Drosophila melanogaster: one gene and its partners. Changing the gene in region 1 together with any one later gene gives a genetic interaction. Each region holds a gene or a part of one and is shown in the gene's direction. Other genes may lie near its edges. The genes, in order: tefu, Top2, Mekk1 and aurA.

Region 1 (7,213 bases):
TGAAACATATTAAATATTGAATGTTTCATTTTGCTTGTGTACTTGGGGGTTGCTGAATACTTTCCCATGACAACCAAGGAAAAAGTAGAACACATTTCGGTTTCCTAGTGAAAACGCCATATTATTTCGCCTTTTTCAGCGAGCATTTCGTTTTCATTGTGCCATTTATGCCGCATGTTTATCTAAAACGGCTTGCCAAAATCGGCGAATCACGAACGGTGACTAATGCCAACCGATTCATGAAAATGGCAAGATCAATGCTGGATCGATGAGAATTATAAATGGCGACCGAGCAGCTGCCACCTTTTTCTGCAAAGTGCGCAAAAAAGAGAAGAAACCGCATGGACAAAGGCGAAAATTCTGGAATGCTAAAAACGCAAACACACGCGCCCTCACAAGCACACACACACATGCATATACTTAAATATATGTAAACCACGCTGCTGAAGCCAGGTCATTTTGGAGGGTGATTCGTATGTGCGAGCGAGGGAGACAACCACTGTGTCCGGGACGGCTTTGCGTGTGTTGGTTTTACCCGCTCACAAACACACGTGCCCGCACTTTGAATGCCGGTTGGCAACGTGTTTTTTTTTAGCTAAGTATATTTAATAAAAGGCCGCATAATGTATAAATTTATGAATGTTAGTTCTATTTATAAACAATGTTTATATGCCTTGACTGTATGTAAGGGAATCCAACATGTTTCTATAGCAGTATAGCATTAAAATTAAATGATCAGACATGCACGCATTTTTGTGTGGTTGTGTGGGGGGGGGGGAAGCCTCACATTTTTCCCAAGCTGGAATATTCCAGCAAAAGAGCAATGGCACTCAAAATAAATTACCAATTACGATGAGTAACTTGGACATTGATTTATTGGAAACAGAAACAATAAAAATCACAAGCAATGTCAAGACCCCGCAACGGATGACGCAAGTTTTCTCTCACACATACTCACTCAACCGAAAGTAGACTGTGACTGCAGTGAGTGGGAAGCGGCACGTTTTCCAGTGGAATATTCCAGATAATCACAATCAAGCATTAGGCATCAATATGCAATTAGTCAGAACTTCCAAAGTTTCTAGAATCTTAATTTGCCTAATTAATAGGCGCTCTATGATGCACCTTTGCAATTATGTATGTAAGTGTGCATCGAAGCGTTACTCACTGGGGTCGAAAGTTCGAGAAACCTTGCCTTCTTTGAGAGTATTGATTAAATAGTAAAGGGGCTACAAAAAACACGTGGTTTGATTTCAAATTATTTTCCGGCAAACTTAATCGAGGTGGTCGCACTTTTTTTAACAACGAAATAAATACTAAAATGTAAATAAACGCTTACCTTGTGTGTTGTTTCTTAGAAAGTACTAAAATATAACCGTTTAATTGCTACTTCACTTTTAATCTGCCGCACCTTCGATCAAACTGGCTGGCGTTTTTTTCTGAATTACACCCGTACAAAATTTGCGAATGCCTTTTATATACAAGCAAAAGTGTTACCAAAGCCATCAACAATTTTAGTACTAAATTCCCAGGGGTGTAACCGCAAAATTCTTGGCCACCCTAATAAGCGCTTCACACAGAAGTCCAGAAATGTTGACGCAGAACGTTCACACCGAAACTGTAAAGTCGTAGAAATTGGCTAATATGTAGTAGAAGCGCTGAACGTAGCTTGTTACTTTAAAAACCACATTTCCTATTCCTTTCTTAATGAATATAATTCATAATATAGGAATAATTAATGAAGGAACAGTGGAATATGGAACATGGGATTTTTTTATTTATAAATCTTTCGTTATATAAGGTTATTCTAGTTCTCCATCGGCACTTATTTGACGCACACGGCTGCCCAGCCATTTAACAACAGTGCTGTTCTTATTGATCGTGGTATTTTTTGGCGCTCTGGCAGAGGTCACTCTAAGTACATTTTGAGAGATCATTTTATGTTTAGTTTAATAATTAATACAACATTACAACAGGTTATGCCGGGCAGCCAGGATGAGTGCACTTCTAAACGAAATCCAGCGGATACTCGGGGACCTTCAGTCGGGGAAGGCAGCCAGCCGAAACAAGGGCATCCAACAGCTGGATGAAAAGCTCTCAAGTTGCCGAGAGGATCTGGATAAGTTGTTTCTTAGCAAAACTTCGGATATATCCTGGACCACAATCTTTGAAGCGTCGAAGGAGGCTCTCTTTAAGGTTCCTAGCCATTATCGTTAAACAATCAGTTCCATTTTAATTGTTAACCTAATGATAGCAAGCTGGAAATCTGGAGGATGTCAACGAGAAAGTATTCAAAACGCTGGCGGGAAAAAACTACTTGTACGATAATGTCCTCGAGAAGATCACACAATTCAACTTGGAAGGTAACTCCTAAACACTTAAACACGTTATTAAAGCTAACCTGTGATTTCCAGCGGGGTCGCAGACCTCCGGAAATGGGCATTTCCTGGCCAAAACAAGCATATTTAGTGCATTCGAGGATGGCATCAAGATGCGAGTGGTAGTCAAGTATTTTGGCGACCGCATTCTGAGCCTGCTGGAAAAGGGCATTTACTCATCGGTCAGCTATGTGCGCGACCTTAAAATTAACGAATACAGTAGTAAGTTACTTTCTGGCCCAAAAGAGACTCTTTTTTTTAATTTGATGATGTATTACAGGGATTCTCTCCTATCTTTTTGAACTGAATGTCGATATGGACGAGGTCTTGCGAACCAGAATACTGAAATGCATCACAAGAACCGTCAGTTTGGCCAAGGACCGGGTTCAGCTGCACGTGGATCTAGTGGAATATCTGCCGGAGCTCAGCAGCTTTGCGCTCTCCGCTTTTGGAGCCAGAAAAACTGAGATTGTTCGCGTCTACTTAATATTTGCATCAGAGGTAGGACTCTTATTATATCTTTAGATAATGTTAAAAACTTTGCAACAATCTTTCAGCTTGCTGTCAACTACAATCACCAATTGAACGTGCACATGCAGGAGATTCTACCTAAACTATGCGAGTATCATGACGAGGATGCGTTCCGGGACGACACCAGAAATCTGTTCTTTCAGTGCGTTTCAAAGTCGCTCCATTCAATGTATCTCAAAATGGATATGTGTGACTTTAATACACTCGGTGTGCCTGTTCATGAAAAGTGGCCGCAAACTTTACTGCGGCTGAAAACTATTGTCAATGTGGAGATCCGAAAGAATTCCTGGGCTCGCTGCAAGAACGCACTACTGAGCAATAATAAATTTTCTGACCCCTTCATCAAGATGTCTGCCCTGGCTATGTATATAGTACGTCGCATAAGCTAGTAATATTTAATATATTTAATTTTAATTATATTATTATTTGCAGGTGCTTTGGCACTTGGAGACGAAAAAGGCTGATGAAAATGGGGAAGGCGATGCGCCGAAAAAGATCCCGAAGCCTGCAGATAAAATGGAAACTATATTTAGTCTGATCGACAAAAAGGAAAACACCTTTAACGACGTCTGGCTTGCGATATTCACTGAGATACTTCAGCTGAGTAGCGTGATCCTAAATGTGGCCAACTACCAAATGGCGCTAACCACCGTGGCGGAAATAATGCAAATGTACGGCAATGCGAAAAATCTCCGGAACCTTCGGTTATGCCTGGCTCATCTTTTGACTAAAGAACAGGAGCTTTTGCACTCTAAATCTATTCGGGAGGATTTTCTGGGTGAGCTTTGGAGTCAAATGGCAAACCAGCTCATATCAGAGACAACAACAAACAGTGAGGAGATCAAGGAGAAGCAATTGGTGCTGCAGATGCTGATCAGACACAATAAACTAAATCAAAAGTTGTCCAGCACGCTGCTTAACAATATTATCTCGAATGAAATGCTAAAGCGCAACGAATGCTTAGCGACGATTCGAGAGATCTTCATCCATGCTGATAAATGTGGTCAAGATAAGGCGTCCGCTGACTTAGAACCCATCATAGCTTGGGCATACGGAAGTGCGGATAGATTCATCGCCGCTCAGATGATACACAATATAGACAGTATTGATGCCCAGTTGCAGGCGGATACTTTTGCAATCAGCATTATAAATTTTTTGGATGTCCAGCAATTGCGACAGATCTCTCAATCAGAACACATTGTTCCTTCCACCGAACGCAATCTTTTGGCCTACAAGTACAACGAACAGCTTATTTGCTTTGACAAGGACTACGCCACTCCTTTTGAGTCAATCACTCACATTCAGAGCGAAACAAAGAATTGTTTGATTCAATCCAATTATGATTGCCTAATGCGAGGCCTTAACTTTGAGATCGCGAAGGAGAACAAACCGGCGGCAATAATAAAAAACCTGAATAGTCTATTAAAGTTGATCTGCACAATGGAAAGGCTTTTGCATTACAAGGTTTTCGATGCAGATACCTATACTGGCTGTCCACTTATAAAAAGAATTGGACTATATCTCAGCCACATTGAGGTGGGTGCCAAATGAATAATCTTTCAAAAACTCGTTTTCTAATACCCATTTCAGTTCCAGCTCAAGGCGAACGGAGCTGAGATTTTAGATAAGAGCGATTTACCAGAGATTTTACGTCTGGAAATCTATGTACTTGATGTATTCAGGACGAATTTAGTCTTACTCGATTATTTGGAAAGGCAACCCATTGAAATGTTGGTGGAATTTGTTGGCGCTGCTCTCAAGTTGCATTGTAATGTAGTTTTCAATTAACGTATCGCTTTAATAATTGAAGAGTGGAATATTTTAGCCATGCAGAGGGAGCGATCTGTAGATGCAGATCATGGAACAATAACGCGTCTGTGCCTTAATATTTTGGCTGGTCTTTGTGCGTACAATTCGCACCGGGATGAAGCATTCGAGCACATAGTAAAGGTAACGATGCGTTGGCATCCACAGGATGTGCTTATTGTGACCAAGGTAGGAGTTATATCGTAACCAAAACAGAAATAATTTTGAAATCTCTTTAAGATGTTATGCAGCTGCCAAACGATTTCTGAAGCATCCAGCTCTTGGTTAGTGAGCAAATTGAAGACGCTTTTCCAGCAGCATCATCAGGATGCGGAATTGATGGACAAAGTGGTTCAACATATGCCCAGTGAGCTTATATATAATAGAACAATAAACACAGTGCAATCAATTCATTTCATTGCAGCCATTTTTTACTTCGTAAGGCACAAAGAAAATCATTTGGACGACATGCTTATGGCCCTTAATTCCCTTTTAAGGATTGCCATTAAGAAGTCGTACACATCGAATTTAACAGCGAAAATTGTACGCTGCGTGGGATTGATTGCTCAGCGTTGTCCGGACATTTACCTTCTAGAGAACTTTGCTGTGATATGCAAGTCCACTGCGAAATTCATCACCATGCCCACGTTAGAAGTGCGCTTTGCCACACTCTTCACATTCACCATCCTGCTGGAATCGAATTGCGTCACTAGCGATGCCATTGGTCATTCTCGGACGCACTGGGACTTCTGCCAGGAGCTGTACGAGAGCATTGAGTTTAAGAAACTGACGGTAAGCATTCGGAAGTCTGGATGCCTAGCTATACTTTAATGGCTATTTCTTATTTAGTACAACAACGAGGATGCCATTCAAAACAGCAATGCGTTAATCGTACAAATGTTAATTGCAATATTCTTGCGCAGCTCATTCCACCAAGAGATAGCACTGAAGGAGCTGCTGCATCATTGTGCCTTGCGAAGGCTAACTGAAAGTGAGTAAGCACCGTAGTAGCAGTTTCAGTTACAAGATCCATGATCCAATTCCAGGGGAGTTTATTTCCCTGCAGAGTATGTCATCCTGCCATCGGCAAACAGTGCGTGATCTTATCAGACCATTTGCGGCCATTCTTCTTCATCATTGGAGCTCCAAGCGCTGGCCCATTTCCAAGTGAGATTAACTAACCAATCCCAAGAAAGTTACACTCACATCTCACAAATCAAGGTTTCCCTATTTTCTGTGCTATTCAACGAAGAGTGAATTCCGCAAAACACACGCCAGTGAAATTATGGCATATACCTTTCTATATGGCAAAACAGAGGATATAGAACGGTGCAGTAAATCCATCAGCGAGGAGGTAAGTACGGTAGAAGTTTTCTTTAAAAAATATATAAATTGCAAGATTTATTCTTTAGCTGGCCCTTCCGATACTGGCTTCATTTCTACTGATCAAAAACAGCTCGTGCAGCGAAAGCGAAGGTCAGAACTTTAAAGAACACCTCCAGCTATTGTCGGAGAATCTCAGTTACTCTCAGCTGAATGCCACAGATGTTGATCTTGATTTGGATATTCTTTGCTATGTGATAAGCATGCTGCACGATCCGCAGGAAATGATGAGATTGTTTGGTTCCCTTGCGATCTGCAACAGAACAGCCAGTTGGTATAGTCTGAGTGGAGAATCGCTTTTTAAGTGTCTGAACTTTCACATTGTACGTATTTGGAAAGACATTACAAATATGTCGCCTAACTCTTGTTTGTTTAGGACCCTGAAATGAGGCCATCGATGGACAGTCGGATCCAGTCCATGACCACGCTTCAAACCAAACATTCCCGTGTGCTGGTCGATATTTTTGGACGCTTAAAGACCAACTGTTATTCGGCCTCTTTTTCTAGTCAGGCCTTGCATGACTTTTTCCTCTACTGTGAAGTTGCAGATGCTGTCTATGATGCAGCCAGAAAAAATGAAACCATAGTTACCCAGTGCTCCTTCTTTGTTCGTGATATTTGGTTTTTTGTGGTGCGACTTCTAATCCATAGTAAGTGAAAAATATACAGAGTAACTTACGCATTACCTAACGCTACCCGATTTCAGCAAAGTTCATCCGCGTCCAAATGGCTGCTCTGACATTTTTGGAACTTTTGCTTAACAAACACAACTTCCGATTGGATGATTACCAAAATCACTTCGGAGACATAGCTAAGCTATTGAGCAATTTTCAACTATGCTGCGAAGCGAAAGAAGTTAGAGAGAAGACCATGTCGATAGTAATGTACATTTTGGAATCAAAAAAGGGCCACATTAACCTGAATTCCTTTTTGGAAGAGACAACGGACTGCGAGTTTCTTAAACCTCTGCGAGAGGATTGCAAGTCCAGTCAACCCAATATTGATAGGGCGGATGTCGCCAATTATTTGCGCTCATTTCTGTTAAGTCCGACGCCAGAAAGATTACGCGATCTGAGGACATATGTGAGTAATAAGTTAATATTCTAAAAAAACTT
Region 2 (10,477 bases), on another chromosome or scaffold:
TGTAGTAACTGCAGAGCTGAAAGGGAATGAGTTATTGCATTTACCTAATAGATAATTATCAAATAGTCACTTGCTGTTGGCAAACTAAAATGAAGATTTCCCCAAGTTTTCTTACCAATTTGTAACTGTTCTCGATTTTCCAGTAGCGGGCTCTTAGGAATTTCTCCAGGTACTTCGCATCACTTCTGTGTGGTTGGCATTCATTATGTTCTGGAGAGGTTTTGTTCAGATGAATACCTTTGTACCTCTTAGACAACGGACTATAACCAACCTAGTATGTAGTTACGGAATTGTTCGATGACCTTATCCTTGGAACTGGGACACTCTCCCTGCTCCTGGGCAAGTCGGCGGATGTGCTCCGGAACCTCCTCCTCGGTGATGTTTAGCTTGTGCTCGATGGTGGGCATGGTGCGGCATCCACTGCTGGTCGTCTAAAAAAAGCCCAAACTATAGATACAATGTGGCCATAAGGGGGTGGTGCATTGATAAGCGCTTTTCACTCGCGCAAAATGTAAATAAAAATAAATCCAGTTGAGAATAGCGCAATATGACTGTTCCCGATTGTTTCGTTGTTAGCAACATTTCGCCACCCGTATTGACATTTAAATTTCAGAGAGATTTGGCATGTCACTGCTGGATGAATTTCTCGTTGTTACCATTTATGGGCTGTGATCCGCTCGACTCCAAGTGTGAAACTGAGCCCCCGATCGGAACCAGAATCGGGCCAAGTGGTGACAGTCCCAGGCGAAATGCTGTTTTACTTGTCGCTAAACATGTACGAGTGTGTATGCGACCATTAAATATTAACTAGAAACCGAACAACAATGAACATTGCGATAGCGCGAAGGAGACAGCCGATGAGTGATAACAGTGTGTCACTGAGCTCGAGCTAAATTTAGTGAATCTGCTGTACTTAATTGATGGAGCGGGAATCCACAAGAATTATAAACAATATAGTATAAGTAAAGTGTTGTGCAATTACTCAGTTTTGGCTGCACTTAGTTTTTAGAAACATTGCCTTTGGGTTGGTTGTTTCCAGCAATCAATACATTAGGTAGGTACACTTTCAAAACAATGTATGCAAAATGAAATCATTAAAATTTTTAAAATCATTTAAAATATATTAATATAATATAATAATATATATATATATAATATAAATATATACTAATTGGGGGTTAGTACCGATTGTTACATTGCTAGCTTAATCTTGGAATTGCATAGTGTTCAGCATCAGCCCCAAAATATGTGCTCTTGTTAGGTGTACCTCGACCTGGCCTTGGCCGGATTTCCCAATTCCTATCCCTACACCCCAAAACGCAGAGCCAGACCCAAACTTGCCCCCAGTGAACCCCGCGATTGTAGAGGAGCCACTGCCTGATAAGGCATTATCCGCCGCGTTCCCAGTTCGCCAATGGCTAATCGGGTCGCTTGGGGTCTGTGCGGTGCAGCGTTGTGTGAGTTCGACGCGTATTTGGCAGATACTGTGAGATGATGCCACCGCGATCTCAAAGTGCAGCACACACAAATTTCACACGTGGTGGCCGTGCAAAGTGCCTGGGTCAATATTTAATCATATTCAACAAATTCCAACTAATTACACATTATGCACTTTTAAGTACGCCTGATTGCAGTGCTTAAGTCCCAGCACATACATACTCGTAGTTCGGTTCAAGTGTTAATGAACTCGCCATTGTTGTCGTTAATTGTCTACATGGATTTGATAATCCCAAGATAATCACAATAATAGTGCCCCCCATTAGGGTGTTTGATAATAAGCGATTATTTCACAGCCCCACCTGCACCTTTAAACACCTGTTTAAATCGCCCCATTAGCTCGGGGTCTTCACTTTCATTACCAGGTAATAATCCAATCCGAGTGGCGGTTACTGTTTCTGGTCACGGTTTCTATTTTTTCCAGCTTGCAGTACGGGGAATCCGACTTAACGAAGATCGCACACAAGTGGCATCGCAGAAGCTTGGAATGAAACTGAGCTGGGGATCGCTTAGAACAGAAGATTTTATGAACACAAGTCTCAATGGAAAAAGTCGAGAAAAAGCGCAGCACTTATGACTATAAACCAGTATGCGAGAACGAGAAACCAGCATCTGAAAATAGGGAGAGCCAGCTCGATGAAACGACGATGCAAACACCCTTAAAAACGCAATTAAGTAAAATTTGTTGATTAACAATACATATACATACAATTTATTCAAAAAAAAAAAAAAGAAACTAATTGCTAATTGTAGTACTTATGTTTATCTTTTTATCTTACCAAATCTTAGGAGTTTTAGCTCACATCTTGTTCAACTTGCTAATAGTATCCTGGAATAAACTGCACTTAACTCCGCTAGTTCACAATTTTCCCATGCATCAGCTGAAATTCCCAATTTGGCAGGGTACAAACTGCACTCCGCATATTGAGAGATCTTTGCTGATGCTTGTCAAACGAGAATCAACAGATTTGGAGGAGTAGAGAATATTTCTGGACGATATTCGATGCTGTGCAAGTTCAATGAGCTCCGGTGACGTCACTGCGTGAAGGGTTCTCCATTACCCAAGCAGAAATTCCGAGTAACTCGGATGAATCCAGAATCTTTATATTTTGTTTGCACTATTCAAAACATGTTTCTGAGCCGGAATGAAAATCGCAACGGGATGGGGAGGGACATGCCCCTTTATGACGTCGTGTTGGGCAAGGTCAGGCAAAATGGCAGAAAGAAAACCAGTTCTCTTGTAGCCATGGTCTTGGCTTTGGAATATTCATATTACCAGGTGGTTAATTGAAAAGCAATCTTCACTTCAACGGTGCGAAATTTAATTGCACAAATGCAACTTTAGCAGCAATTTTTCATTTCATTTCATTTTAAGTAATTGCTGTATATCACATTGATGTGGGATACAATACTAAGCATATGAAAGGATAAATTTCTTAATGGTTTTACTTTGTCTTAAATTTTTGATAATTTGCATTTAGATCGAAATATTTTATCTTTTTTACATTTATTTCAATGCCGATTTATAATGTAAAAAATAGAAGAAATGTTAGTTGGAATAATTAAAACCCCTACTTTCGACTCGAAAAAGAATTTAACCCCAAAAATGTTATTATTATTTATTACCTTCGAATTTTTTAGAATTAACTGTTGCTTAACTCATCACGTGATTGAGATAGAACTAAAAAACCGTGATTTTGGCGATCACGCTTTTAGCGGAGTCACCGACCGCAGTTACTAGTTTAGCCCTGTTCACAATGAGCGTATGCACCAACCCAAACAACACTGTTATGGGACTTATCGATAGCGATTTCATTCAAACATCGATTTGTGCGCCTTGCCAGCTCTAAAACCAGCAATACTTCTCATTTGTTGTCGGTTGTGAAAAGTTGTTAAATGTGCTGTGCGTATTTTAATAGTTAGTTGAGAACTGTACAAGTTTTAGCTAAAGGCAGCAGACGCGTGGGGCACGTACAAGTCGAAAATTGTAGTGCACCGCCTCGTGTATCGCCTGCAACATAGAGTTTTGCCGCACTTCGGTTGTCGGCGGCAGCAAGAAAAGGCCACAAATACTTGGCAATTTTTTAACCAGGTAAGCAGAAAGTGCTGAATCATAATCGTAGAATTGGCTGTACCGTAGAACCTAAGAGCCCTGTCTAATTAATCCTTTAATATGATGGATATAGCAATTTTTCGGTGGCGTCGCTTGCAAATTAAAAATGGCGATACCGGTATAGACATTTAGCTAATTTTGGGCCTTTAAAAACCATAGTTTTTTGATTTTGTAGCGCGGAGCGCGTATGTAGGCCTGAATTTGTTTACTATAAAGTGAAACCCCTCGAAGAACCTTAATAAGAAATAATAAATAGCGGTGACTACCGGCAAACGCCAATAAACACGCACACTCACGCAACAGACGGCGCACGCCAAGCGTTGCCGCCAAAGAGACAGGGCTGTTATGTATTTCAAAGTGTGCTGAAAATCTGTTCCCAGTACAGTAGCACCAGGCAAAATAATACTTAGTTTGACGTTTTTCAATTTATCTGCAGTTATTTCTGTTTGACGTACCCAACCATTTCCCATGTTGGCCAAGTCCCATTCCATTGCAGCGTTTGTCTGGACGGCATTTACGCAATGCGCGGGCGCGCGTTTTGTTTTTTTTTTTCACCGTGGGTACAGTGCGCATTCATTAATAAAAAATTGTTGAACAGCAGCATCAGCAGCATTGGCATCACATGCCAACGCACAACCATCCCCGTTATTAAGAGGCCATTAAACATATTGGGTGCCATCTATCTTATTTGGTATTATAACAATTAAAAAAAAAACGTGAACATAATATTACTAATATACTAATAGCAACTGTTAACTGGGTGGGTACTGTAGTCTTCTGCTAGTAGCTTTGGTTTTTTTTTTACTTAGTAGAACGCAGGACGAGTGATTAATAGTAGCTAAGGCAATGGCTCGGAATATTAGTTATTAATATTAATATTACATTAACAAATGCCTTTTGCTTACTCTTTGAAGATTCAGCTAAAGCACAGCGACAGAAGCATCATGGAGAACGGAAACAAGGCCCTGTCCATCGAACAGATGTACCAGAAGAAGTCGCAGCTGGAGCACATCCTGCTGCGACCCGACTCGTACATCGGATCCGTGGAGTTCACCAAGGAGCTGATGTGGGTGTATGACAACTCCCAAAACCGCATGGTGCAGAAGGAGATCTCTTTCGTGCCCGGCCTCTACAAGATATTCGACGAGATTCTTGTGAATGCGGCAGATAACAAGCAGCGAGACAAGAGCATGAACACCATTAAGATCGACATCGATCCGGAGCGCAATATGGTGTCCGTGTGGAACAACGGCCAGGGCATTCCGGTGACCATGCACAAGGAGCAGAAGATGTACGTTCCAACGATGATCTTTGGTCATCTGCTGACCTCGTCGAACTACAACGACGATGAGAAGAAGGTCACTGGCGGCAGGAACGGATACGGAGCGAAGCTCTGCAACATATTCTCCACCAGCTTCACCGTTGAGACTGCCACGAGGGAATACAAGAAAAGTTTCAAGCAGACTTGGGGAAACAACATGGGAAAAGCCTCCGATGTGCAGGTAAGGAAATAACATTTCTTATTTTAGACCATCATCTAATGTTCAGTAAACCCACAGATCAAGGACTTCAATGGCACTGACTACACACGCATCACATTCAGTCCCGATCTGGCCAAGTTCAAGATGGACCGTCTCGATGAAGATATTGTGGCTCTAATGTCGCGTCGCGCCTACGATGTGGCCGCCTCATCCAAGGGAGTATCCGTCTTCTTAAACGGCAACAAACTGGGTGTACGCAACTTCAAGGACTATATTGATTTGCACATCAAGAACACGGACGACGATTCTGGCCCACCGATCAAGATAGTCCACGAGGTTGCCAACGAGCGTTGGGAGGTGGCTTGCTGTCCTTCAGATCGAGGCTTCCAACAGGTCTCGTTTGTCAACTCGATAGCTACCTACAAGGGCGGTCGGCATGTGGACCATGTGGTAGACAATCTCATTAAGCAGCTGCTCGAGGTTCTGAAGAAAAAGAACAAAGGTACGTTTAACTTAAAATGTGTATTTTCTTAAACAACAACTAATATTTGCTTTGAACCTCTTCCAGGTGGCATCAACATCAAGCCATTCCAGGTCCGAAACCATCTGTGGGTTTTTGTCAACTGCTTGATAGAGAACCCCACTTTCGACTCGCAGACCAAGGAGAACATGACTCTGCAACAAAAGGGCTTCGGTTCCAAGTGTACCCTCTCGGAAAAGTTCATCAACAACATGTCCAAGTCTGGCATCGTGGAGTCTGTGCTGGCATGGGCCAAGTTCAAGGCCCAAAATGACATTGCCAAGACGGGCGGTCGCAAGTCAAGCAAGATCAAGGGCATTCCCAAGCTGGAGGACGCTAACGAGGCGGGTGGAAAGAACTCGATTAAATGCACCCTCATCCTCACCGAGGGAGACTCAGCCAAGTCATTGGCCGTATCCGGTTTGGGCGTGATCGGACGAGATCTCTACGGCGTGTTCCCGCTTAGGGGTAAACTTCTAAATGTGCGGGAAGCTAATTTCAAGCAGCTTTCGGAGAATGCCGAAATCAACAATTTATGCAAGATAATTGGCTTGCAATACAAAAAGAAGTACCTCACTGAGGACGATCTAAAAACTCTGCGCTATGGCAAAGTGATGATCATGACAGATCAGGATCAGGATGGCTCCCACATCAAGGGTCTCTTGATCAACTTTATCCACACCAATTGGCCAGAGCTTCTGCGTCTGCCCTTCCTCGAGGAGTTCATTACACCAATTGTGAAGGCAACCAAGAAAAACGAGGAGCTGTCATTCTACTCGCTACCCGAATTCGAGGAGTGGAAAAATGATACAGCTAATCACCATACGTACAATATAAAGTACTATAAGGGTTTGGGTACTTCGACCTCCAAGGAGGCGAAAGAGTATTTTCAAGACATGGATCGCCATCGCATCTTATTTAAGTACGATGGATCGGTGGATGATGAGAGCATTGTTATGGCCTTCTCCAAGAAGCACATCGAGTCGCGAAAGGTATGGCTTACCAACCACATGGACGAGGTGAAGCGTCGCAAGGAGCTCGGTTTGCCAGAGCGATATCTCTACACCAAGGGCACCAAGAGCATCACCTATGCAGACTTTATCAATCTGGAGTTGGTGCTGTTCTCGAATGCTGACAATGAGCGCTCCATTCCTAGTCTGGTGGATGGCTTGAAGCCGGGTCAGCGGAAGGTGATGTTCACTTGCTTCAAGAGGAATGACAAGCGTGAGGTGAAGGTGGCCCAGCTATCCGGATCAGTGGCGGAGATGTCAGCCTATCACCACGGAGAGGTATCCCTACAGATGACAATCGTGAATCTGGCTCAGAATTTTGTGGGTGCCAACAACATTAATCTGCTTGAGCCACGCGGTCAATTTGGTACCCGCTTGTCGGGAGGCAAAGATTGCGCCAGCGCTCGTTACATTTTCACTATAATGTCTCCCTTGACGCGACTCATCTACCATCCTTTGGACGATCCACTTTTGGATTACCAGGTGGACGATGGCCAAAAGATCGAGCCACTATGGTATCTGCCCATCATACCGATGGTATTGGTAAACGGAGCCGAGGGCATAGGAACTGGATGGTCCACGAAGATATCCAACTACAATCCTCGTGAGATTATGAAAAATCTAAGGAAGATGATAAACGGACAAGAGCCAAGTGTGATGCATCCGTGGTACAAGAACTTTTTAGGACGCATGGAGTATGTTTCGGATGGTCGTTATATTCAGACTGGTAACATTCAAATTTTGTCCGGAAACCGTTTAGAAATCAGTGAACTCCCTGTGGGCGTATGGACGCAAAACTACAAGGAAAATGTCCTGGAGCCTTTATCAAACGGCACCGAAAAGGTTAAGGGTATTATTTCCGAGTACAGGGAGTATCATACAGACACCACCGTTCGCTTTGTGATCAGTTTCGCACCTGGAGAATTTGAGCGCATTCATGCAGAAGAAGGTGGTTTCTACCGAGTGTTCAAACTTACCACGACGCTGTCCACCAACCAGATGCATGCGTTCGACCAGAACAACTGTCTGCGACGCTTCCCCACCGCGATCGATATCCTTAAAGAGTATTACAAACTGCGACGAGAGTACTACGCCCGCCGGAGGGACTTTTTGGTCGGCCAGCTCACGGCGCAGGCTGATCGCCTCAGTGATCAGGCGCGCTTTATTCTCGAAAAGTGTGAGAAGAAGCTGGTGGTGGAGAACAAGCAGCGCAAGGCCATGTGTGATGAGTTGTTGAAGCGTGGATATCGTCCCGATCCCGTCAAGGAGTGGCAGCGCCGCATTAAAATGGAGGATGCCGAGCAAGCTGACGAAGAGGACGAAGAAGAAGAGGAGGCAGCTCCCAGTGTCAGCTCAAAGGCTAAGAAGGAAAAGGAAGTCGATCCGGAAAAGGCCTTTAAGAAACTAACTGATGTCAAAAAGTTTGACTACCTTCTGGGTATGTCCATGTGGATGTTGACAGAGGAGAAGAAAAACGAGCTACTCAAACAGCGCGACACTAAACTGTCCGAGTTGGAAAGTCTGCGCAAGAAGACGCCGGAGATGCTTTGGCTGGATGATTTGGATGCCCTCGAATCGAAGTTAAATGAAGTAGAGGAGAAGGAGCGCGCAGAAGAGCAGGGGATCAATCTCAAGACCGCGAAGGCTTTGAAGGGCCAGAAGTCGGCCTCAGCTAAGGGCAGAAAGGTTAAGTCAATGGGAGGCGGAGCGGGTGCCGGAGACGTATTCCCAGATCCCGATGGAGAACCCGTCGAGTTTAAGATCACCGAAGAAATCATTAAGAAAATGGCAGCGGCTGCCAAGGTAGCTCAGGCGGCTAAGGAGCCGAAGAAACCCAAAGAGCCCAAGGAGCCAAAAGTGAAGAAGGAACCGAAGGGCAAGCAGATTAAAGCCGAACCTGATGCCAGCGGCGATGAGGTGGACGAATTTGATGCAATGGTCGAGGGCGGCTCTAAGACCTCACCCAAGGCCAAGAAGGCGGTTGTCAAGAAGGAGCCGGGAGAAAAAAAGCCGCGCCAAAAGAAGGAGAACGGCGGCGGGCTCAAGCAGAGCAAGATTGACTTCAGCAAGGCCAAGGTAAGTGTTTCAGTAATTGCCCATATTTGTTTTTAAACCCAAATCTGTATTTAATTGTCAATTAATATTTTTCATCTTTAGGCGAAAAAGAGCGACGATGACGTGGAGGAAGTAACTCCTCGTGCAGAGCGTCCTGGACGTCGACAGGCCAGTAAGAAGATAGACTACAGCTCGCTCTTCTCGGATGAGGAGGAAGACGGTGGCAACGTTGGCTCTGATGATGATGGCAATGCCAGCGATGATGATTCGCCCAAGCGTCCAGCTAAGCGTGGACGAGAGGATGAGAGCAGTGGAGGAGCCAAAAAGAAAGCTCCGCCCAAGAAGAGGCGAGCTGTAATTGAAAGCGATGATGATGATATCGAGATTGATGAAGATGATGATGATGATTCTGATTTTAATTGTTAAGGAACACATTTCCACACAGGATATTGATAGAAGATGGACTCTTAGAATCAGCATTATCCGCATCGAGAATCTCGAGGAGGCACTTTTTTTTGCGGACTTGCTCGCCACGATCGTTCGTTATTTTATAATCTTTCAATGTTCTCCTCGATGTTAACGTCAATGTTTTATAATTCGTGTTTTTATTAACTATAGATAAACACTTCGCTACATTCGTTCACTGTAGCTGATTCTGTTCCAGAGCAGCAAGAAAGCCACCAAGAGGAATTTACAAACGTAATATCGATGTATTAACATGTTCCATAAAGATAGTTTGTAGTCTCATACGAGTTTTCTTCATGTAAATAAATCACTTTTGCCGAATGGCTAATACATTAAATTTCGATTGGTTTTTTGGGTAAAAAAAAAACACCACTACGGGTTAGGAATAATACGTTTTTATTCGCGAAAGCTACACAAATCGGAAAGTGGGAAATAAAGGTAATCTCTTCTCTAATTCTCTTTACGACTCCGCACCCTCCAGGAAAGTCTTAAAGGAATTCTTAATGTTGTCGTTGGCAAACGTTGGTTGCTTGAGAGCCTCGCGAAGAGCAAATCGACAGTTCTTGACATCGTAGTCCGAATGGAATACCTCCTTGCAGGGCAACAAACGGAGCTGCATCAGTACATAGTTGAGTACACGTGTCTCCTGCTTTGTCTTGATGGCATAGTCAAAGGTGGCCTGGTACAAGGAGACGGCCAGATCCAACGCAGCTTTCGAGGATTGCGACAAATGCGCGCACTTCAAGGTGGTGAAGACGAGCAGTAGCAAATGGTTGTCGCCGGTGAATTGCTGTACAAAAATGTTACGTTACTCTAATTGCATTCTAATTATTGAGAATATCTTACGTTGACAATCGACTGCAAAGCCTCAAGTTTGTTATCCATATCTAGCGAATCGAAATCTTCCTGGGAGCAGGGTTTCTGGCTCAAACAGAACTTCTCTGGAGTGCATTTTTGGCTGATCGTCTTGTTCGCGACCGCAAAAGTTTCGCTGGCCATCGAGTTGGTTGTGTCGTTAAAAAGCTGTGAAAATTTAAAATTAAAGATAATTCGATTAATTGCTGTTACCATTTGCACAGTACTCCGAAGTATAAACTAACCTTGGTCGTGTAGGCATTCGTAGTGACATAGGCAGTCTCCTCCGCGACGTTGCTGTACTCCTCGTCTCCCTCGTCTTCCTCGTCGTCCTCGTCGCCCTCGCTATCCTCATCTGCTTCTTCGGTAGTATCGTTGGCGTGCTCGTGTACTTCCTCTTCCTCTTCGTAATCTGCGTCCTGCTTGTCAGCCTGGTATTCATCTTCCAAATCCTCCTCTTCCTGGTGCTGAAACGGTTGCA
Region 3 (7,066 bases), 3.5 Mb from region 1:
ATTTACATAAACACTGTGTTTAGAGGCATTTCAAATTTTCTTGATTAGCAACCGTGGCTAACTGTAAACCACCCACGTGTGGTAATCGCCAGTTTGCGATTCCTCCGCGTACCTTGGCATTCTGGGAGTGATTCTCCGGCTTGGTGGTAAGGATGTTGATCTTGTCCAGCAACTGCTCACTGTCGATCAGCGAGTGGGTCTTCTTGGGGGTTTTGTAGTCGATGTGGACATCCGATTGCGAAGTCGCATCGGCGTTTTCCATATCTTCCAGGTTTCCGACGGTCAGAGTGCGATTTTCTCGCGGTTTCGCACAATATATACAATTATCGTACAGAGATATACAATGTATAGAATTCGATATAGACCTGAATGCTATTAGCTTGTTTATTGCACAATTTTTATTTCAAACACACATTTAAAACAGCGCGTCTATTTTCTATGACCTGAACTAGAGGTGAAACTAATTCGATTCTTAGTATTATCGATGTTTCTAGAAATTTGACAACATCGATGTTATTGCAGTTTAAAATTAAACGATTTTTTAAACTAAAATTAAATATTACCAAAAAGAAATGCATATTAGTAAGATACCGGTTGAATATTTCAAGTAAATTTATTCAAATATTTCTTTATGCATATATATAAAAGTAGATATACACAAAAATGTTAAAAATGTAACAGTTAGTAACTATTGATAAATGGTTAGGCTTTTATTAATTTGATTTAAATATTATTTTTTTTTAAGAAACACATAGCAGGATCACCATATCACCATCACCATTATGAACAGTCGATAATTCCCGATAGCTATAAATTGTTATCGAATCCCAGCTCGCTTTGCAACACTTGCGTTCCACCTGGAATTTATTTACGTGCTGAAATTCGAAGTTTTTTTTGTGATAAAACAGCACTCCATGAATGAAAGTGTGTTCCGGATACAGCCAAACAGACAGTGAGCAATGCGCCATACCCTGTCATCAAATAGCAGCCGCCCAGAGTGAGGATCCGCTTGCCAATCCGTCAGAGAAATCCCCGCCAAGATGATGCCATACCTTCGCCGCCTTTTCAGCCAGGAGCTCTCTCCGGCTGCTCAGGGCGATTTTCTGGGCTGCTTGCAGCAGGCGCCCAGTGTCCTGGCCACCGGATTCCCTGGAGCACCCGCACTGGAGAGCCTAAGTTGGTTACACAACCTAGCGCCGTGCTTCCCGCTGCGAGGCGATCAAATTCAGGTCATCCACGAGCCAAAGCACTTCTACGAAACGCTGGTGCAACGAATCGGTCAGGCCAAACGCCGTATAGTGCTGGCCAGTTTGTACCTGGGCACTGGGCAACTGGAGAACGCAATGGTTCAGACGTTGCGTCACAGCCTGGAGCAACAGTCTGCCCTGAGGCTCAACGTGCTGTTGGACTTTACACGCGGCACGCGGGGAACCCTCAACTCCAAGACCATGTTGCTACCCCTGGTCCGCGACTTTGCGAGCCAGGTGCAGCTATCCCTGTACCATACGCCTGATCTGCGCGGGATGACAAAGCGACTAGCACCGCCACGGTGGAATGAGCTTCTCGGACTACAGCACATGAAGGTCTACCTGTTCGACGATGCCGTGATCATATCAGGCGCCAATCTGTCCAATGACTACTTCACCAACCGGCAGGATCGATACATACTCATTGAGGACAAACCGTTGGCGGATTTCTATGCGCAGTTCATCGAACGCGTTCAAGAGTTTAGTTTGGCAGTGGCGCCAGATGCCAGCGAGGGACTGCACCGCAACTGGCGAATACTGCCGTACGAGGGCACCAAGGAGCAGTTTATCCAGCTTGCCCGTAAACGTATTTCCGATTTAGTGCAGGAGACGTTTCAGCGGCAGGCGCGAACTAAAGAGCAGAATCCGCAGGCAGACACATGGATTTTTCCGCTGCTTGAGATGGGCCAGATCGGCATTCATCACGACAGCGTGGTGACCAAGCGGCTGCTCTCCAACTGCTTGTCTGGATCACGGCTGAAACTGGCCACCGGGTACTTCAACCTGACGCAGGAGTACATGGACACGCTCACGCACAAGTGCCTGGCCCAATGCAGCATACTGATGGCTCATCCAAATGTGAGTGGCTATCAGTAATTAGTTGACCAATAGTAACCCGATTTAATTCATTTTCCAGGCAAACGGCTTTCAGGGTGCCAAAGGACCAGCGGGCGGAATTCCGGCTGCCTACACACTGATAGCCAAGAGTTTCTACGAGAGCCTGGTCCGCCGGAAGCAAAACCACCGCGTTAACTTCTTCGAGTACGAAAAGCCCGGCTGGACGTACCATGCTAAAGGACTGTGGTACTACCTGCCAGAGGCAATACTGCCAAACCTCACGCTGATCGGCTCTTCGAACTTTGGCGAGCGATCGGTGAACCGCGATCTGGAGACACAGGTGTGCCTTGTGACGGCTAATAAGGATCTAAGCCAGCGGCTGCAGGCGGAAGCTGACCGGCTGTACGATCTGTCACAGACGGCGGAGCGGGAAATCGTCCAACGACCCGTTCCGCGATGGGTCCAGGCCGTCGTTCGCATATTCAGGAATTTCTTCTAGGCTCTTCGATATAGTAGTTTAATTTTTTTCGTTCTTTGTTAAGCCCCATATCCCAGGTAGTTAATTTAGTTTTATAATTCGTGTTTAATCTTTGCCCTGGGCAAGTGTTTCTATTGCTGGTAATTGTTGATTTTGTACACACGCTAAAGTTTGTTAAATAATAAAGAGAATCGAGGGCATGCAGAAGGAAAAATACCACGCTGTGTTCTAATCACCAGGGGGATCATCATTTTAGAATCAAGTGCATATGTTATAAATATTTGTACTATCTATATGTACTTTCATTTAGTTTTAATAATTTTTGGTGCTGATAATAATCATGCGTTCAAAATTAAATATCCCGCCCATCTGTGAATAGTGATGGACGCCTAACGATGGTTTACCGCTTTGGAGAGGCAGAAATAATCGGATAGACCAATGTTTTTAGCTATTTTCAAGAATGTATTTCGAACTTTGTTGAAAAAAGTTGCAATTTGTTTAATTATTATTTTCAGATGTCCTCAATGTGTTTACCAATTTTGTTAAAAGAAATTTAAGAGCAAAGTCTAAGCAAAAATTTAACTCTTCGAAATACTCTGCTAAGTTTAAGCTTTTAACCAATTGTTGAACGAAAAGTCCCAGTTTGATTATCGCTTCTTTGCCACCTCTAAAGCTCTCTCTTTTTTCACTCTTCAAAAACGCCGGGCGACTTGAGTGGCTCGAAGACTTTAGTTAGCTGCTTTTTTTGGCCCGGTAAGACGTACGACAAAGTGCTTACCTGCGTGCCAAGTTCGGGAGCGCGTTAAACGTTATGTGTTTGCTCGCCGTGAAAGTTAAATTAAAATAAATCTGATTATCGCCAAAGGCAAAACAAAAAGAAAAATAAAAACGCGGCGCGTGCTTACTAAAGTGCAAGTGTGTGTTGGTGCTGGATTGCGATAGTGTTTGTGCACTGGCGGCTGGCTGAGCATGTGTGCGTGTGAGCAGCAAATTCCAAGAATATAACAAAAGCAGAAAAAACAGAGTTTTGCAAAAATGTCAAACAGGCGAAGAGTGCGAACAATTGATTATCTGGCGCTGCAGCAGAGTTTGCGTTTGCAAAAGACACCGGCAGCAACAACAAATGCAGAGGAGCAGGTGGCAAGGGAGGAGGAGAATGGCAATGGGCATCATAGTACCGTTACAGCTGAAACGCCACCCACACCACCCATCCCGCCCATTCCGCCCATACGATTACGACGCGAGCAGAGCGTCGAGGAGGATGTTGCAAGGTGAGCAGAGCACACCAGCGGTTTTCGAATTGCTGGGCTTTTCCCAACACAAACAGAAACAAGAAAGTCTGCATTGGCACGTAACTAACAAGCGCTCTCTTTCCCATTTCCTCTCCCCCTCTTTTAACATATCTCTGTCGCGGCTCTGCTCTCAAAGCCATATTTGCGGGGTTTCCCTCTCATTCGCTCTCGCATTTCTTCTCTCTCGCTGTGCATTTCACCAGTTTTAATTGTTTAAACGTAAACAACGTGTTTTTTGACCACGTTATCTTGTTGTTGGCCTGGGTGGCTCAACGAACCCCAGAATTTAGCGAACTGCAAGACAGGCACAAAAAATGAACAGCAACAAATTGCGAATTCTGCCTGAAATTAAACACTTTGTGTGCAGCGCAATTAAAATTCTGCACAGGTGCACTGCAAAAATTGGATCACATTTGTGTAACGCATACTCGTCGAACACGTAATATATTTAGAAATTTTTGTGGAAATTTTAGTAGATTGAGATTGAAACCAAATCTTGAAGTCTAAACGCTCCTTTATGTAACAGTAACGATTGTTTTCAGTGATCAACAAGTTTTCTCACTTACAAGAGAGCACCCTTCATAAATATTTTAAACTGATTTTAATGTGTTCAAATAAAAAAGCAATAATTGCTAGGTATTACATTACAAAAACTAAGTTTCTTTATAATGCATGTTATATTCGCTCTGCGTCGTTTTTCGTAGTATTTCGGCATTTATCATAGTCATATTTTTGTGTGGGGCCGCCTCAAGTCTTCCAAGATATTTGCTGATAACGCTGACGGTGGACTGATAACACATACACACGCTCACCTTGAGAGAATTACGGATACGTTTTCCGCTGTTTTTTTTTTTTGTGTCTTATGCGCAGGGGCTTATTCATAATACACTTCATTTTTTTGATTTGATTTTTATGGGATAGGTGAGTGTTCATCGTTTTGCGGGAAAACATGATTGTCGTATGTTAGCAGGAAATTTGCGACAAACATCCATTTTCTTTTGGCACCTGTTTCTATGGCAACTAAGTGAAATTAGCCGAGATTTATGTGTCTGCTGCTCGCTCTTTTTTTCGTTGGTCTCTATATTTTAATACCTGTTAATTGATAAGTTGATTGGTTCGCTGGAAAAATGGCAACGTATAGATATAATATTACATATGTTTTTTTTTTTATTAAAGCATCGTATATGCTAAGATACAAGCAGTGATTCTTTAGGAAAGGTTACGAAAAAGTTTTTGACTTTAAAGGTTTAAACAGCATTTATAGGGTAATCGGTAGTTCGGACATCTGTAAGCATTGTTCTCATTTGATGCCGCCAATCTTGTTCTTCTTCAGCTGGTATACCTGTTTTAGGGGGGAGGGAAGAAGAAGAAGAGACGGAGGGGAGACTATTGGAAGTTAAAACGCGTTTAATACGTGCGTTTGCCCACTCTGCTTTGTAACCTCTTTCGTTATTCTGTTTTCAAATCGAATTCGCTTTCTTCTCATATCTCCGTCCATAATGTTTTGTGGTTGTCACCTGGCTAACTGAATGGAATTCCGATGATTGAAGGTCTCTGGCCTAACTGTTGTTGGCTTTGGTGAAGAGAGCGGGAGCTCGCGCTCTTGCAACATTCGTATTTGTACTTGAACTTGCAGGTTATCTTTCTCTCTCTCTCTCTTTTGCTCCACGTTCTAGACCTCAGTTCAGTTGGTTATAATTTTGGGGCTTTCGTATGTTTGATAAGCATAATTGTACACACATATCAGAAAACATTTCCGCATATTACACACGCACGCGCCCACACACACACGTGCCACTGCCGTTTGCACTAATTTTAGAAGTTTCTAATGTGTTTTTAAATGCCATGTTTACAGAAGAAAACAGCATAAACATGAGATTCACAGATTGTGTATGATTTGTTATTTCCATTTATTTAAAAATTGAAAACCTCTCAAAATCCATTTGATTACTATTTTACATTTTTAACTTTTTACTTTACTTTAAGAAGCATTGAAAGATAAAACTAAAAACTATGGTTGCATATTAACATTTGTTTACATTTAATAATCTTGATTGGGTGTCTGATTGTCTGTTTCTTATTACAACTCACTTTGTTTTGGACGAACTCGTCCTATCAGTCGATCTGATAAATTGATCGCTTAGTCATCGAATTTCCAATGCTTCATACATAAATGGGGACCACGGTGCGAATGTGCAACTTTTATGTGTATCTATAAATATGAAGTATACGCACCGCTGGTCACGTGACCAAAGATTTTCATATAGAGCCAATGAAGTTGATTGACTTGATTTGAATCGATTTTCATATTCTGACCGTTTGTAGAAAAATACCTACACTCAAAAGCTTAAGTAAACACATTGCTTATTAGCCAACAAGCGGGTACATAATAAAATGCCATAAATTAATAATAAATATTCTCGCGGCTAAGACAATTGCGAACCACAAACAAACGCAATGCGCTCCAGAAACGATCGAATACCCCTTTGCGTTCCACAACAAACCGTATCACGGTGGTGTGTCTCTCTTTCTTGTGCTCTTAGTTTCCATACCTCTGTTGCTCATCTTATTGCGTCTCCTCTCTCTGAGATACCATACACAAATGGCTATAGTTTATAGTGGCAGGTATTGTATTTATTGTAAACCGTAGGCTTCACAATTTATATTTAATATGTTATGCATACTTTTACACTTTCTGTGCCACACTCCAGTAGTTTCTGACTGAAATGACCACTGGTAAATGTTAAACATAACTATTTAATAGCTAAACCGGCATCCCCGATTTGAAGTGGCCACCCACTAGTTGCTCTCCGCTGAGGGCCGTAAACAATCGGATGCGTCGGTCGGGCGGTCGTCGCTCGCTCTTTTCAGTTCGCCGCGATTGGCAGTGAATAGCAGTCGGTTTGGGGGCGACACCGCTTCGTCGGCACCGCGGCACACACTCGCTTGCGCTACATACAAAACCGTATACTGTACGCATTGGCGAATAGATGGGGAATATTCTTGTTAAAAGTGCTAATAAATTGACTGACTGGCTGCCGCGACAAGTGCTGCGCGTTATGAAATTCGAAAGGGTTCGGTGCGAGGCGTGCGAACTACTGCCGCCTGTTTGCAATTCGTCGTGATAAACCAGAAAACCAGCCAGAAAACTACACACTACTACGGTGGGAGATAGTGCATAACCCATAACCCACCCCACCAGTAAAGATTCC
Region 4 (6,671 bases), 3.3 Mb from region 1:
TAAGTTTGTTTTAAGTTTTTGAGACTGATAAGAATGTTTCGATCGAATATTCCATAGAACAACAATAGTATTACCTAATTACCAAGTCTTAATTTAGCAAAAATGTTATTGCTTATAGAAAAAATAAATTATTTATTTGAAATTTAAAGTCAACTTGTCATTTAATGTTTTGTAGACTTTTGAAAGTCTTACGATACAATTAGTATCTAATATACATGGGTTCATTCTACATTCTATATTAGTGATGATTTCTTTAGCTAGTAATACATTTTAATTATATTCGGCTTTGATGATTTTCTGATTTTTTCCGAACGGATTTTCGTAGACCCTTTCGATCTCATAATGGCTCATTTTATTGCGATGGACGGTCAGGAGAGCTCCACTTTTGAATTTCTGTTCGCAGACACCGCATTTGTAGCACATAGCCGGGACATCCGGTTTGGGGAGATTTTCCAGTCTCTGTTGCAATTGGTTTTCGGGAATGCGTTGCAGGCGCATACGCTCTATATCCTCCGAACGGCGCTGGTTGACCCTAGCATTTACATAAGGATCAGCAGCAAAATTTGCCTCTACTTCATTGCCCGGAATCACAGCAATCAGATGTCCCTTTCGGTTACGATGGATATTCAGGTGCGAACCGCACACAAAGCTCTCGCCGCACACTCCACACTGATATGGTCGCTCGCCCGTGTGGCGCCGCATATGGATCTTAAGGTCGTTGGACTGCACAAAGCTCTTGCTGCACATTTTGCAGGAGTACGGCCTTTGACCCGTGTGCAATCGCATGTGTCGCGCCAGCTTGTTCTGCGAAATAAACTTCTTGGAGCAGATCTTGCACTCACTGGGACGCTCGCCGGTGTGCTGACGCATGTGAAGACTAAGATCTTGGCTGCGCGGAAAGGCCTTCTCGCATTGATCGCACTTGTACGGATTATCGCCCGTATGTCGCCGAATGTGGATGGTAAGGCTAGATACGGGAAAGCTCAGGCCACAGTGCGGACAGTCTCGCCGCTTAGCTATGCGTTTTCGGGCGGAATTGTCCGTCGTTTCTTCGGGTTCCAATGCGATTGCGTCGGGATGGAATGCCTGCATGTGTCGCCGGAGTGTGTCCTGACGCTTGAATGTCCGCGGACAGTGCTCACAGGTTAGCAGACCGGTGCCGCAGCTCTCGTTGGCCAGCTTCATGGCGGCCACGTCCGCTGTCAGTTTGTGGGCTTGGGAAAAATGACGAGTCAGAGATTCACTTTTGGCAAAGACACGCGGACAGACGGCGCACTTGTAGATGAAGTTCGCCGAATGGTTCAAACGACTGCCCAGCTGGGAAGGTCGCGACAATTCTCTGTTTTCTATTTCATCTGGCCGAGGCTTCAGCTGAAAGGAGTCTTCAGGCTCATCATCACGATCCTCGCTCGCATAGAGTGGCTCTTCGCCCACATCTGAAGTAAAAGCTGAACAGTCTTGGTCTCCATACTTCTCCTCCATTTCCACGTGCTGTTCGGCAAAAGACGTGGACAGGTATTGTGCCATACTGACCACATCGTCTTGGTCTATAAGCTCCACGACATCCACATGAACTTCATCCGGCTTGGCAGCAACTTCCTGTTGCTCGAAGAGATTCTGTAAAGTTTCATGGGCGTTTTCCACTTCGACGATGAACTCATAGGCGCCGATCAGCCGGCGGGCGCAATTTTGACACAGATGCATAGGCAGATTTGGGTCCGTCCATGTCCACTGGAAATAATTGAACTTATTTTTCGAAGTTTCTTGAAATTGTAGCTCTTTACCTTCAATTTGGAAACTGCCTCCAACAACTGCCAGAGCTCCAACTTAAGGTCGTTGTATTTGATTTCATCGTGGACATACAGATTGGTCTCGTGCGTCTCCAGGCAGACGCGGCAAGTCTGCGAGCTTATATTTACGTGGATCTCCGGTGTGTCCATGATTCGGCATCATATCATAAACGACGAATTCCAATAAAAACTTTGCTTGTTAATAACACCTGATGTTCAGAGATGCCCGATAAAATCACAGCTGTTCTGGTTCACAGTCACCAGAAATAAAAAATATTGGAATTGAGATGTACACAATTAACGATATTTATAAATATCTTCCGATAGTCTATCGTCCGGTTAATCAAAATAAAGTGCGACGAATTAACATATTTTCAAAATTAAGACGCTTTGATAGATGTATTTGTATAGAGATAGAAATTAAGGTTAAAATAACATAAATGCCAAAGTTTAGAGCACTATTCAATAATTCTCTTGATTTCAAATTGAAATAATACACAATATAACATTTTCTAACACTACAAAGTCACGATATTCTTCAACCAACCGATAGTATCGCACACTTGCCATTCGCCTCATCACGCACACGCCCGCTTCACAATTCAAACGAACGGCATTTTATTTTCACAGGATCCCGGGAGTCGTGAATGTTTTACCCAATATCGGCTTTCATTGTTAACTGACCAAAATTGTAATCTGTTCTGTTAGTTGTCGAGTGCCTGTGCCGTCATGTCCCATCCGTCTGACCATGTGCTGCGTCCCAAGGAAAATGCTCCGCACAGAATGCCAGAAAAATCAGCTGCAGTGCACAATATGCAAAAGAACTTGCTATTGGGAAAGAAGGTACGTTAAGTGGTAAATCTCTGGAGTGCAGCTGAAACTCTTATTTGGTACCATTGTGATACAGCCCAACAGCGAGAATATGGCTCCAGCTAGCAAACCCTTGCCAGGATCCTCTGGCGCTTTGATCAGGAAGCCAGGCCTAGGAGGCTCCAATTCCATAGCTTCCTCCGAAGGAAACAACTTCCAAAAACCCATGGTGCCGTCCGTGAAGAAGACCACATCAGAGTTTGCTGCTCCGGCTCCAGTAGCACCTATCAAGAAGCCTGAGTCACTTTCCAAGCAGAAACCCACTGCTGCGAGCTCTGAATCCTCCAAGGAACTGGGTGCGGCCAGCAGCTCCGCTGAAAAAGAGAAAACCAAGACTGGTGGGTTAATGGTTCAGCTGTAATCTTTTGCAATTACCAAACTCAATTGTAATTTTCTGCAGAAACCCAGCCCCAGAAGCCGAAGAAGACCTGGGAGCTCAACAACTTTGATATTGGTCGCCTGCTGGGACGGGGCAAGTTTGGCAACGTTTATTTGGCGCGGGAAAAGGAATCCCAGTTCGTGGTGGCCCTAAAAGTGCTCTTTAAGCGCCAGATTGGCGAGTCCAATGTGGAGCACCAGGTGCGTCGTGAGATCGAGATACAATCGCACCTACGTCATCCGCATATCCTGCGTCTGTATGCCTACTTTCACGACGACGTGCGCATATATCTGATCTTGGAGTATGCGCCACAAGGAACGCTTTTCAACGCCTTGCAGGCACAGCCGATGAAACGTTTCGATGAACGCCAGTCGGCCACCTATATTCAGGCGTTGTGCTCGGCGCTGCTCTATCTGCATGAGCGGGACATCATACACAGGGACATCAAGCCGGAGAACTTGCTGCTCGGGCACAAGGGCGTCCTGAAGATCGCCGACTTCGGTTGGTCCGTGCACGAGCCGAACTCCATGCGCATGACACTGTGCGGCACTGTCGACTACTTGCCACCCGAAATGGTTCAGGGCAAGCCGCACACGAAAAACGTGGATCTATGGAGCCTGGGTGTGCTCTGCTTTGAGCTGCTAGTGGGCCACGCTCCCTTCTACTCGAAGAACTATGACGAGACCTACAAGAAGATTCTCAAGGTGGACTACAAACTGCCGGAGCACATTTCCAAGGCAGCATCCCATCTCATTTCCAAGCTGCTGGTCCTTAATCCGCAGCACCGCCTACCGCTGGATCAGGTGATGGTGCATCCTTGGATCCTGGCGCACACGCAGTGAACACATTCTTGTTTAATTTTCAGTTAATTCCTTTTAATTACATTTTTAGTTTAGGGCTCCCCGCGTAATTTAATTATGGCATCATAAATTTTCATTTATATAGATACGAGAAATTAACATTTATCAATTAAGTTTATTATTATCATTAGCAATAAAGTTTGTGTGTGTTTTCGAATGCTAGCGTACACTCCTATCTTATGTAGCTACCTAATCTCTAGCGAAATGGGTTGACGGAATTGCAAATGCAGAAGTGAAACGTGTAGGCAGCGACAAAAAAAACAGGCAACATTGCCCAAATGCAGCGCAGCGTTTATTTTTATCACAGAAAACCAAGTATATAGAGTATATTTGTTAATGAAACTTGTAAGGATTTAGCAACGATTTCGATTACTGCTAATTCGGGACTAATAATTTGCAAGGCAGAACTGAAACAGTCTTCATTTTAAATCTGTCTGCATTTGTTCGTAGCTCCATCTCAGAGTATTGTATTTCCTGCGAGTTTTAATTTCTTGTTCTTCATTTGCTATTAACGAAATGATGGTAGTCATGACGTTGAACTTAACTTACAAACTAAATAGCTTAGGGCGTGCTCAAGCCAGGATAGATTTTGATTTATAATCTTCAATTAACGTACAAATTTCAATGATCGATTTGCGACATTTCGTTATGATTAACCCTAGAATCTATGGCTTACCGAGCACGGCTTTAATATAAAGGGGTTTCTAAGCCTTTGCACACTTGCCGCTCAATATTAATAGAAAATTATCTTACTTAGTGTCTAATAACCTCGCCTCCCTTCTTGCGTGCTGCACCACCATTGGAATAGTCGTCCTCTGCAATTTAAGTTAAAGTGTTAAGCATTTATTCCGATTTGTGAGCACTTCCACTCACCATCTTGATCTTCATCCATGCCGTCTTCCAGGTGGATGCCTTCGGCGAACTCCTTACCCTGGTCAGCAACGATTTCGTTGTTTAGATTGTCTGTATCGAGCAAATGCTGTGGCTGTTTCACGGCCACATCACCCACATCGTCGTCGTCATCTCCGTCGCCACCTCCTCCGGCACCGGCTGCCTCGGCCATCTGTTTGGCCGTTTCATCGGGAACGGGTCCGGGACCAGGTGCCGGCAATTCGCCATCGAAGAAATTCTGGCCGCCACCAGCGGCGGGCAAATTAAAGCTAGGCTCGTTTAACGCATCCTTAACTTCGTGAGCGCCCGAATCCTCGATGGGTTTGGGAGCTACGCCTACATTTTTGTTGCCCTCCATATCATTTACTGCGTTGGCGTAACGATTGTTGTTCTCGTTCTTCGGCAGGTCTTCGGCGGCGTTGTCTACATCGACAGCGTCGCCCTTAGTATCCGCTTTGTCTTCAAAGTTCTCGGGAATGGGAGCCACGTTTTCGGGAAGTTTGCGCTCAGTCTTCGCTGGTGGCACTGCAAGCGGGGGAAGGCCGCTGCTACTAACTTTTGGGGCTACAGATGCGTTGGGGGCATCACCGGCTTTCTTGTCCGAAGCGCTGCCCACTGAGGCTTGGGTGCTGCTCTTGCGGGGTGCACTTAACGGGGAAACAGGACCGCCGGATAGTTGCGGCTCCTCCTGCTGTTGCTTCTCACTGACCGATTTGGGCACAATCTGAAAGTTTTCAACAGAGTTTAGTATGAGGCTGTGGTTGTTGGACACGGCAAAAGGCTGCAGAGGCAGTTGCGGCTGCTCTTGGGTTCCGTCACCGTTACTCTTAAGTGTGAAGTTAGTAGACGCGTTTGTTAGGTTTTGTTTTGGGTTAGTTGCTAGCAGATTTACCCCGCCGCCAATCCTGTAGAGGCCTTCACTCACTTGCACTTGGGCATCGAAGGACTTCTCGTTGCGGGGCTTTTCAATGCTGTGCGCTAGCTGGGCAGGATTTGAGTGGTGCGTGGTGGGCATCTGCTCGGCGGGCTTATTCAGTTGCTGCTGGTGTCCCTGGACCGGTGCCTCGGCGGGCTGGACTTTAGGTACATAGTTGCAGTTGGTCTTGAATTCCGCAATTGTGGCTTCCAGGGCGTGAATCTTGTGCTCACCATCGCGCTGTAGCTTGTCCAGCTTTTCCTGGAGCATAAGTAGATATGGTGAAGAAATTTACTTGGATGTATTAGAAAAGCATACCTTCCAGGCAGCCACCTCGCGCTCCTTGCTGGCCTTGTCCTTATGAAGATCCGCCAGGACCTTTTGCAGCTTTTGGTCGAAAGCGTTCGTGTCCTCGATGTGTTTCTTCTTGCTCTTGACGAACTCGGCCTCCAGGTTGGTGTACTTAATCTCCAGCAGCTTGTACTTTTCCACCTGAGCGTCGAACTTCTCCTGCAGTGCGTGTTCCGTGTCGTGCTGCTTCTGCAGTGCCTCCGCCAACTGACCCTCGTACTGCTCCTGCAGGGTCATCTTTTCCGAGCGCAGCGCGCTCATTCTCTTCTCGGCGGTAAGTTTTTCGGCATTCAGGGCTGTGGATATCACCATAATCAGTCGGCATATGGACAAAACAAGATAGAAACAATAGACCCACATTGCATCTGGACACTGAGGCCCTCTTGGAAGGCGCGGCTCTCGTCCAATTGGTGTTGGGACATTTGGTAGATAACAATCATCATGATGAGCACGATGAACATGCTCATCAGGATGCAGATACGGACGCGCCCTGAGCGCGCGAAGCGAGCCGAACTCATTTTACACTCGATTTAAGCTAGTAAATCAACAAATTGCAACTATTTCCTTTGCAGAAAAAGAATGGTTTTTCTTCTTGTTTTGCTTTAGAGCTGGTA

Evidence for each region.
Region 2: of tefu (region 1) and Top2, changing one enhances a phenotype caused by changing the other (phenotypic enhancement), as found in Drosophila melanogaster (one study listed by BioGRID).
Region 3: of tefu (region 1) and Mekk1, changing one enhances a phenotype caused by changing the other (phenotypic enhancement), as found in Drosophila melanogaster (one study listed by BioGRID).
Region 4: of tefu (region 1) and aurA, changing one suppresses a phenotype caused by changing the other (phenotypic suppression), as found in Drosophila melanogaster (one study listed by BioGRID).

What each region holds. Positions count from the first base shown.
Region 1 is NT_033777.3:15,236,926-15,244,138, reverse strand, and holds the start of tefu (telomere fusion), read left to right. Parts: upstream 1-1,902; 5' UTR 1,903-1,918; intron 1,919-1,976; 5' UTR 1,977-1,995; coding exon 1,996-2,196; intron 2,197-2,254; coding exon 2,255-2,363; intron 2,364-2,414; coding exon 2,415-2,600; intron 2,601-2,658; coding exon 2,659-2,879; intron 2,880-2,935; coding exon 2,936-3,280; intron 3,281-3,341; coding exon 3,342-4,445; intron 4,446-4,499; coding exon 4,500-4,677; intron 4,678-4,734; coding exon 4,735-4,904; intron 4,905-4,955; coding exon 4,956-5,082; intron 5,083-5,139; coding exon 5,140-5,507; intron 5,508-5,564; coding exon 5,565-5,706; intron 5,707-5,761; coding exon 5,762-5,882; intron 5,883-5,936; coding exon 5,937-6,069; intron 6,070-6,127; coding exon 6,128-6,421; intron 6,422-6,474; coding exon 6,475-6,748; intron 6,749-6,804; coding exon 6,805-7,181; intron 7,182-7,213. UniProt on the Drosophila melanogaster protein: Serine/threonine-protein kinase which recognizes the substrate consensus sequence [ST]-Q. Required to suppress spontaneous apoptosis of proliferating cells during development, and for their proper differentiation. Required for female fertility.
Region 2 is NT_033779.5:19,446,363-19,456,839, reverse strand, and holds Top2 (topoisomerase 2), read left to right. Parts: upstream 1-3,349; 5' UTR 3,350-3,589; intron 3,590-4,046; 5' UTR 4,047-4,301; intron 4,302-4,524; 5' UTR 4,525-4,554; coding exon 4,555-5,112; intron 5,113-5,169; coding exon 5,170-5,593; intron 5,594-5,659; coding exon 5,660-8,697; intron 8,698-8,778; coding exon 8,779-9,102; 3' UTR 9,103-9,475; downstream 9,476-10,477. Other genes in the region: CG10026 (uncharacterized protein), read right to left, coding at 1-16, 116-210, 272-431, 657-659; RanGAP (Ran GTPase activating protein), read right to left, coding at 9,602-9,931, 9,988-10,164, 10,242-10,477. UniProt on the Drosophila melanogaster protein: Control of topological states of DNA by transient breakage and subsequent rejoining of DNA strands. Topoisomerase II makes double-strand breaks. Essential during mitosis and meiosis for proper segregation of daughter chromosomes.
Region 3 is NT_033777.3:18,739,768-18,746,833, reverse strand, and holds the start of Mekk1 (Mekk1), read left to right. Parts: upstream 1-3,239; 5' UTR 3,240-3,597; coding exon 3,598-3,833; intron 3,834-6,737; exon of another isoform or gene 6,738-7,066. Other genes in the region: gwl (greatwall), read right to left, coding at 113-262; PGS1 (phosphatidylglycerophosphate synthase 1), read left to right, coding at 1,041-2,105, 2,164-2,583.
Region 4 is NT_033777.3:11,960,773-11,967,443, forward strand, and holds aurA (aurora A), read left to right. Parts: upstream 1-2,351; 5' UTR 2,352-2,519; coding exon 2,520-2,633; intron 2,634-2,697; coding exon 2,698-2,998; intron 2,999-3,060; coding exon 3,061-3,881; 3' UTR 3,882-4,054; downstream 4,055-6,671. Other genes in the region: CG3281 (uncharacterized protein), read right to left, coding at 271-1,731, 1,785-1,940; CG12213 (uncharacterized protein), read right to left, coding at 4,653-4,714, 4,773-5,967, 6,025-6,353, 6,416-6,575.